Ovis aries: one gene and its partner. The protein of the gene in region 1 purifies or fractionates together with the protein of each later gene. This does not show direct contact. Links are inferred from orthologs where the notes say so. Each region holds a gene or a part of one and is shown in the gene's direction. Other genes may lie near its edges.

Region 1 (4,571 bases):
ACCAAGCCTTTGCAGGGGGCTGAGTGCCCAGGGCCAGGGGCACGGCTGCCGTGTGTCTTCCCCAAATGGGAGGGTCCCCAGGGGAGCTGGCCCCCATCTTTTCTGGTTTCTGTGTATTTTGCCCCTTGACAGACCAAAATGGTCCTATTGCTGAACGGCATGCCTTTTAGCACAGGCTGCTATCTTAGCAAAGGGCCCTCTGACTCCAGGACAGCTGGCAGCATGGATGGCACAGAAGCATGGGGCAGAGTGGCAGGACCCACCCAAACCACCACCGGTTTCGTTTGCCCACCTGCGTGCCATCGTCTTGGCAGTTTGATTCCACGCCAGCCCCTGGGGCCTTGCTGCTGAATGGGAGGTGAACGATCAGCCCGGCCCACAGATGCACCTGCCAGCAAGGGTAGCCCCGAAAGGCCCAGCCGCTCAAGAGGGAAGGGTGGTAAGGGCAAGCACGTGCTGAGGGCCGAAGGAGGCCAAAGGGCGGGCTGGGCCTGCCAGGCTGGTGGCATCTGGACCCTGCCCCAGCTCCCACACCCTGGAGAGAGACTGCTGCAAAGCTGGTGAGGGCCCTGGGAGATGGTGAGGTCTGCTCCATCCCCAAACATGCAGCCTCTGTCCTCTCTTTCCCAAAGGTGATGACTCAGGGGAATTCAGGCTACCGCTGGCATCCCAGCCCTCCCTGCGTCCCCCTCCACTCTGGCCCTGTCACCACACAGCGGCGTGACCCCCGGGAAACCACTGCCTCAGTTTCCCTACCTATAGCAGGGGAACCGTCTCCTCCAACTCCCAGATGGGTGTAAAAACCAAAGGAGGCCCGTTATGGGGGGCGGACCCTGGCCCGAGGGCCAGAGGAAAGCACCCCAGGCCTGCAGACAGCACCTCCTCCCTGACCCACCCCCACCGTCCTGGCCGCACCCCTTCCAGGCACTCAAGCCCCAAAGCTCCAGGAGCCAGAATCTGATACGGGAGGATGGCAGAAGACAGGGGTCGGAGGACCGCGGGTTGGGCGCTTCGGATGCTCTCACCCGGACCTTACAGCTTAGCCCCTGGGACATCAGGAGGTGGCCCCGGGGGCCAAGCTGTGCCTGGTCCTCGATGGCCGCAGGAGTGCCAGGGCGGACTGTTCCAGGCAGCCCAGCCCAGGCCCGACCGAGGTCAGGACCTCCCACCCAACTCTGGCGGCCCAGGCTCGGAGACCCCGCGGCGAGGCGGCTGGGAGCCGGGGCTGCAGGGGCATCCCCCCGCCCCCGCCGAGAGGGGCCGCCGAGGGCAGAGCGGGCTGCGGGCGGCAGGTGGGAGGCAGGCGGGCAGGGGAGGTGGGAGCAGACGCCAAGCAGGCCGCGGCCCCTCCCCGCTCCCTCCTCGCGCGCCTCCGCCGGCGACATTGCCCCTCCTGGGCAGGGGGCGGAGAAGACGGCGGCGGGAGGGGAGGAGGCGGCGGCGGCGGAGGCGGGATTTGGAGTTTCCCTCCGCAGCGGCGGCGGCGGCGGCGGCGGCGGCAGCGGCCCCTCGGCTCCAGGCGAGGCCGCCGCCCGAGGCTCCGGTGGCGCGCGGCGGCCGCGGCGGTAGCGCTTCCCGCCGGCCGGGCTTTCGGAAACTTCCCGGCCGCGACGCGCGGAGCCGGCGCAGGAAGCCGAGCGGAACGGAGGTGAGCGGGGCACGCGGCGCCCGGGCACCCACCCCACCCCCACCCCGCCTGGCCGCCCCCCCGACGTGTGTGCGCCTCCGCCCTGCGCCCCCAAAGTCTCGCCAGCGCGCACCCCGCCAGGCCGACGCACGCGCCCCTGGGAGACCCACTCAGTGCGCCCGCCCGTGCACTCCGTGTCCATGGCCACGCACACCCCCTGACACTTACACGCGCGTGCACAAACCGTGCACCGCGGACCCAGGGCCCTGCAGTGCACGCCCCGGCAGCCGCTAAGTCACCATCGACTACTGTCCCCAACTCAGGCCAGCACCCATCCCAGACGCTGCCACGCCTCAGTACACACCCAGGCGCGCGAGAGCGTGCGCGCGCGCGTTCACACACCCCACACACACACACACACACAGACGCACACACACACATAGATACCCAACACATCCTTGGGATATCTGCACTAACACAGCTCCCCTCGCCGGCCTGCACCATCTCCAACTCCCCATATGCTCATCACAGACACCCCACCCACGTTCCCAGCCCAGAGACGCTGACATCCACCCATCCCTGGACGAAGCCCCAACAGGAACCCTCACCCAGAGGCCGACGCTGCACTCCTGAAGCCCAGCTGGCTCCCCAGGCCTGCACCTCGTACACCCCCAATATGTGTGCACACCTGCAGGATTCTGGCTCTTGGACACCCTGGCCCGCACCCATGGCACATAGCCCTGCACGTCCTCTAACACATTTCAGTCCCTCCCTCCAACACCTGGCACACGGGTTCTGGAGGCTGCAGCATTTGGTGGCATCTCTGCCAGGCGCCACTGGCTCGCCTTTGCAGCAGTGGTTCACCACCCTGAGGCCCCCCAGGTGGCTCCCTAAACAGGCCCTGGGTCTCCCCAGAGACTGACTTGGCCTGGTCCCTAAGAGATAAGGAAGGCACTGGGGGTGCAAGGTACTGTACTTAGATGGGGGAGGGCAAGGGAGAGGCAGGCAATTGAGATGGAAGCCACCCAGCTGCGGCCAAAGGGGCCCCAGGTGTTGGCAAGCACATAGTAGGTGGCTTTCCTGGAGGCAGGAATCGGAGTGCCTGTGTGTGTGTGTGTGTGTCCGCCTGCCAGTGTGGTGGGGGGCGGGTGGGGGGAGGGTAGGAACCACGTGCACACGTGTGCTTCTGTGTGTCTGGGTGAGTGACCTGCTGAGGGAGAAAGCCACCCCCCGGGCTCCCTGGTGCAACAATTGGTTTCATTCATTCATGCCTTCTTTGTTCCCGAGCATTTCTTCCATGAGCGCCGCGTGCCAGGCCCTTCCCTGGGGGGCTGGGGCCAGCTCAGGGCAGGGTACACAACCGCTTCTGCCATGGAGGAACTCCCAGTCCCGCCAGGAGGCCGACCCGGCAAAAGCCATCCCCGGCGGAAAGTAGATGTGGAGGAAAAGACACCGGATTTGCCCGGAGCGCTGTGTCTGGGAGTTCTAACCGGGCCGGACGGCCCAATTGCCGCCACCAGGCCGGCGGGGACCCGAGTGTTTGGGGGTGGAGGCGGGCTTGTGGCGAGCAGGCGGGGCGCCGCTCTCGGGAGGCTCCCGGGCCCCAGGGGCGCATGGGCAGCGCGCTAGAGGCCTATGGGCAGCGGCGTTTCCGCGGCCTCCGAGGGGCACTGCTTGGGCTGGGCGGAGGCCAGGGGCGCCCGGCAGGAGAAGGGGGCGGGCGGCGGGCGCAGCGCCCACCCTACGGGAAGTGCGCGGCCGAGCTCTGCCCGCTTGAGAGGGCCTGGGGAGGCCACTGCGCGCCTGGAGCGCGCGCGCCTGGGAAGTGGGTGCGGGGCCCAGTGTCGGAGCCCCCACCTCAGCCGGCGCTGCGGGGGGCCTGGCGAGGGTCGGGGGAGGGGGGCTTGGTGGCACTCAGCCCTGCACTGCGGAGGTGGCAACAGGTTTCAGGATATCTTCCTGCTTCTGGCGCAGCGGGAGCTGCTGGCGCTGGGCAGTGAGCACTTTGGTGATTGAACGCCCCCCCCCCCCCCCCCCGCAAAGCTCACTCTCAGCTGACCAGCAGAGATCTGGGCAAGGGGCAGACCCCCACGACCCCCGCCCAGGGGCAGAATTTGCCTCCCTGGCCTGATGCTGGTTCCCTCCCCCAGAGAGCCCTCTCCAGAAAGCAGGCCTTGGCACGGCAGGGCGACCCTCTCTCCAACCCCCGAGACCACAGCACCGGACAGGAGCAGGGTGTGTCTCTCTTGGGCAGCCACCCCCACTCTGGCGACTTGGCCAAGCCAGACACACCAGGCTGGCACATCCCGGAACCCCTGGGTGCCTTCAACCCCAGCCCACTCCGGGGTCCTGCCCACAGCTGCAGCAGGCCTGGAGGGAGCCCCCCAGGGTTGGTGGCTTCCCACCTCTGCCTGTGGGAACTGGGATGTGAGAGAAATGAAATGCACACACAAACCCCCGCCCCCCTCCACTCGGCTCCAGCCTAGCTGGTAACCTCAGGGAACTGAGGTCTGGAGCACAGAGGAGGGAGACAGAAACCTGGGGGAAGGGGAGTGAAGAAGGAATAGAATCAGGACAGGCTGCAGAGGAGGCAGCCCAGGCTAAGGGCGAGGGGACCCAGCCCAGCTGCCCACGGCCCCTGGAGCCAGGTGATGGGACTCATCCCAGAGACCAAGACATGGGGGAGTGTGGCTGGAGACAAGTCTCAGCCTGGTGGCCCACTGGGCTGGGAAGGGAGGCAGGGTAGGAAGGGGCAACCAGAGGCCCCTATGAGGCAACCTGGCTATCTGTGACCTGCCCTCTCCCCAGCAATACCTCTTGCTTTTTCCCATCCTATTTTATGTTCTGATCAGTGACCTTCCAGCAGTTTTGCACCTTTCACTCCTTAGTTACCCCTCTTATGGTACCCATCCTGTGTGCATAGCTTTACCTCTGTTTACTTAGT
Region 2 (4,565 bases), on another chromosome or scaffold:
TGGGTTCCTGGGAACTAGCAACTCTCAGTGTTACTAATCTGAATTAGAATGCCTGACCATAGATCTAATTATGAGCAATTTCAGAATCATAATTTCTGTTCCATTTTGTCTCTTGATCTTTAGTGCATACAAGGACATACTCCCAGCTTCCAAGGAAGACAAAAACAACGTGATTACTTCCTGAAGCCTAGGAGATGTGTTTTGTGAAGCTCCCAGCTCACATCTTCACTGTGAAGTGGAGATGGATTGGATGGTCTCTTCAGTTTAACAGTCTGGGAGACAGAATGCAATTAAAAAGAACTTCTGCCTGTGTGTCAGAAGATACATGTTAGTCTCAGCTCCTCAACTCTCAGATTTCCCATTCTGTAAAACTTTGATTCACCTATTCCAAAATTTTTGAGTGTCTACATTTGACTGTAGGGATGGGGGTGGGTGGGGGCTACAGCAATGAACAAGACAGACATGGCCCTCTGCTCATCCAGCTCAGAAAACCAGATGACACCTACACTGTGGGGTGGTTCTAATGAAGAAATTAAAGTGGACCAAATGCTGTGTAAACTATGAAGTCTAGCACAGGAGCAAAAGATGATGATCTCGGTTCCAATTTTTGTCAAATCCAAGGACAACAAAAATGTTAGCTATCCTGCTGTTTCTGAGTAAAGCCTGAGAGTGTATTTTTCACCAAACCCAGTCCACGCAGCCCTCACCTCTTCCCTATGCCTCCATGTAAAGGTAGGCTGGGATTATCTGTCCTCAGGATACAGGCACTGCCAGGTTGCTGAGGTCCGGTCCCTAGCCCACTTTGACAGGTCTCCATTCGAAAACCATTAGGCAGGGAGTCAAGATGCCTGGGCTTTCCAGCAATCAAGTTACCTTGCCCAGTCACCTTCAGTTTCCACATCTGTGAAAGAGGCCCCATGTGTGAGGAAGCCACCTGTCACGGCTACTATGAAATAAGCATCATATCACTCGGCATCGGGCCTGGCTCCAGGAGGTTCCACCTCGAGCCCCGGGCTACTCCTCGGGCCGAGTGGGCACAGCGGGGCCACGTGGCCCGGTCTGGGTCCCAGCTCCAGCACTCATTTGCTAGGTGGCTCTGGGTGAGGTCACCGGGCCGCCCTACCGGTCAGCATTCGGTGGCGGGGGTGGGGGGGGAGGGTCTGGACAGTCTCGAGACTGCCCTGGGGAGCTTCTACGTTGACTGGAGCAGACGAGGCCGACAGGTGCCAGGGACCACAGCCCCAGCAGCGGGAAAACGGCGCGCGCGCGGCGGGGAGAGTCACGTGACGCCGCGGGGGCGGACGGGGGCGGGGCCTGGCGCGCGCGGCTCCGCGGGTGAGAGGGCGGGCGGGAAGGGGCGGGGCCTCGGGCGGGGCCGCCGGGGGGAGGCGGGCGGGCGGGAGGGGAGGAGTGGAGATGGCGGCGGCGGCGGCGGCTCAGGGGGGCGGGGGCGGGGAGCCCCGGGGAACTGATGGGGTCGGCCCGGGGGTCCCGGGGGAGGTGGAGATAGTAAAGGGGCAGCCGTTCGACGTGGGCCCGCGCTACACGCAGCTGCAGTACATCGGCGAGGGCGCGTACGGCATGGTCAGGTGAGGGGCGTTCTGGGGGAGGGGGCGTCTCTGGGGAGGGGGCGGAGAGGGGTGCTGAGAGCTCTCTGGGCCTTGCGGACTCTGAGCATCCTGAAGAAGCCGGGGCTTCAGGAGGCTGGGGAGCGTCCCAGGCGGAGGGCCTTTGAGTGCTTTCTGGGGGAGGGGGTCACTGCGTAAGGTCTCAGGAGAGGAGGTTTGGGAGCTTTGAACTGACTATTCAATAATGAAGGGTAGGGCATCAGAGTGTATGTGGGGGAGCTCTGGGGACCTTGGGGACCCCATAATCACGGGGTGAGGAGAAGAGAATTAGTCTTCTTGGGGAGGTGATATCCTTAGTGAAGAAGGAGAGAGGGTCCCCTCACTGGGGAGAGGATGTCTTGGATCACCCCCCAGTGAGGCTTGCCAAGGAGTTTGGGAAAAAAGAGCAAAGCTCAGGGCTGGGTGGGGTGGGGTGGGGCTTTGGGCCTGGGGCCAGGGACCCAGTGAGCCATGAGGGGTCCAGGAACACCTTCCTGCAACTTTTAGGAGGGGTCTGTGAGTTCTCCTATCCGCACTGGGTGCTCTGGGCCTTTGTTCAGCTGGACATAGCTCTGCTGCCCAGGAACCTCCCCCTGACACCCGCCCCGGCCCTGCCTCTCCCTTCTCTCCAGTCCCTCCTCCGACTCCCTCCTTCTCACTGTATTTGCCTCATTGTCCAGTCCTCCACATCTCCCACCCCCTGGACCCGTCTTGGCTTGAGAGAGCCCATCGTGGGAAGGGGAGGATGAGGGGTCAGGGCAGCTCGAATGGAAAGGGTTGAGGAGAGGGGAAGTCAGTGAGCGGTCAGTCTCTTCCTCTGTTTGTGAAGTCACCGAAGGGCTGGCTGGCTGGTCCCCAGCTTTCTCCCTGGAGATCCCAGGCCTTCACAGCAGGAAGGAACTAGCATTGTTTATGACTGGCCAGAGCCCTCTCCTGCTCCCTCCCCGCCCTGCCAAGGCCTGGGTGGGGCCACCGGGCCTGGACACCAACATCTCTCTGGCCCTCTCAGCTCAGCTTACGACCACGTGCGCAAGACTCGAGTGGCCATCAAGAAGATCAGCCCCTTTGAGCATCAGACCTACTGCCAGCGCACGTTGCGAGAGATTCAGATTCTGCTGCGCTTCCGCCATGAGAATGTCATTGGCATCCGAGACATTCTGCGAGCACCCACCCTGGAAGCCATGAGGGATGTGTATCCTTCACCTGGGCCAGACGGCTGGCCAGGCCCAGCCTCAGAGCCGGGCTGGGAGAACAGGGGCTTGTTTTCTCTTCCCTTCTTCCCAACCTCCCTCCAAACAAACCCAGTAAAGGAAACTTTCCAGCGGTCAAGAGGCCACAGTGTAAGAAGGCAGAGAGGCCTCAGATGAATCCTGGCCTGCTGCGGCCAGGCAGTGTGGCCTTGGGCAAGTCTGTTCTCTCGATCTTGGCTTCGTAGGGGGCTGGGCAAGATGAGCCCTGTGGAAGCTTTGTCCTCTGACATCGGCAATTCTGTGAGGAGATCCAGCCTCTGCCCACAGTCAGCTCTTCTGTTTAACTGATGGCAGTTCTTGTTTCTCTGGGTCCTCAGACTGGCAGGAAGGCAGGCGGGAAGAACACTGCCCTGTTTTGAGGGCCTACTGTGAGTCTGGTGCAGCTCAAGCCGAGTGCTTTGACATTTCCTATTCTAACTCCCAACTGCCCTAGGAGATGGGTCTCAGCAGCTCCATTTCAAAGATGAGGAAACTGAGGCTCAGAAAACTGAAATAAAATCAAGTGCTTCTGTGGCTGCCTCTTCCCCTCCCCCAGACAAGAACCTGTCCCCTCTCTGGGACTTCCTGCTCAGAGTCCCACCCCAGTCACCTGTGGACTCGTACCTTGCCCAGGGAGGAACAGACCTGCCTTTGTGGCCCCCCCGACCCACACACACACATTGCTTTCCTAGTTTGTGGGTCCACTTCCTGCCTGGCTCTGTTAGGAGCTTTTACACTCATCACCTCTCCCCTACCCCACCCACCCCCACCATCCCAGTCCTTCCCCCAAGAGTGGTGATCTGTACTGCACTGTTTGCAGCCCCCACCACAAACTGTGGGCAGGAAACTTCCACACTCACCCTCAGCTTGTCGTGTGACCTTAACCAAGTCACTGCAGCATGCCGGGCCTCTTCATCTTTAAAATAGCAGGGTTGGTCCAGGTGTTCTCGGAAGGCCCTTTTGAGGCTGACTCTGAAAGACAGCCATAACTGAGTCTTCCAGAAACAACCCACATGACGTTTATTTGTTTGTTTATGTTTAATTCTTTTTTTATCTTAGAGTATAAAAGGACATTTACTCCTCTGTCTTCGGGTGTAGGGCCAAGCCCCCGGAGTAGGAGCGTGCCGCTGGGAAGTTTCTCCTCATTCGTCTTGCACAAACCATCCCCATAAGGCAGGCATTTATTTTTAAGCAAACATTTATTGCCTGCCAGATGGTGTTCATACATAATCTCATTTAACCTTCTCAACAGCCATGTGGCTCAGTCTTTTATAACAGCAATACTAGTTCACATTTGCCGAACATTTACAACGTGCCAGGCACCAAGCTGGCTGCACTGCCTGGGTCATCTCTCAACTAATCTTTACCACCACTCTCTAAAAAGGATTTTTTTTCCCCTTTACAGATGAGGAAGAGAGGCGCAGACAGGGCTTGAGTTCCTAAAGTGAATGAATGACCAGTGCAGGAATGATTGACAGTGGCAGGTGAACTCCAGAGTTACTGCTCTTAGCTGGGACGTTCTCCTGCTTCCCAGTTTATTATCCCCATTTTCTCAATAGGGAGACTGAGGCTACAGAACTGCGACGCTTTGCTCAGGGTCACCAGCTGAGATCCAGCAGAGGCCTTGAGTTCACCTGCTAAGTGTGGGCCTTGCCCAGCTCATGATATGAGCTGGCAGATCTGTTGAGTCCCAGGGGCATCAGCTGGAGGGATGTGAAACCTGGTCAGC

What was found.
Region 2: the proteins of DUSP9 (region 1) and MAPK3 purify together in Homo sapiens (affinity purification with mass spectrometry; 4 studies listed by BioGRID and IntAct, with this or other methods). This does not show direct contact. The link is inferred for Ovis aries from reciprocal best matches to the Homo sapiens genes DUSP9 and MAPK3.

The regions. Positions count from the first base shown.
Region 1 is NC_056080.1:80,631,114-80,635,684, reverse strand, and holds the start of DUSP9 (dual specificity protein phosphatase 9), read left to right. Parts: upstream 1-1,500; 5' UTR 1,501-1,648; intron 1,649-4,571. UniProt on the Homo sapiens protein: Inactivates MAP kinases. Has a specificity for the ERK family.
Region 2 is NC_056077.1:26,691,830-26,696,394, forward strand, and holds the start of MAPK3 (mitogen-activated protein kinase 3), read left to right. Parts: upstream 1-1,394; 5' UTR 1,395-1,416; coding exon 1,417-1,589; intron 1,590-2,616; coding exon 2,617-2,799; intron 2,800-4,565.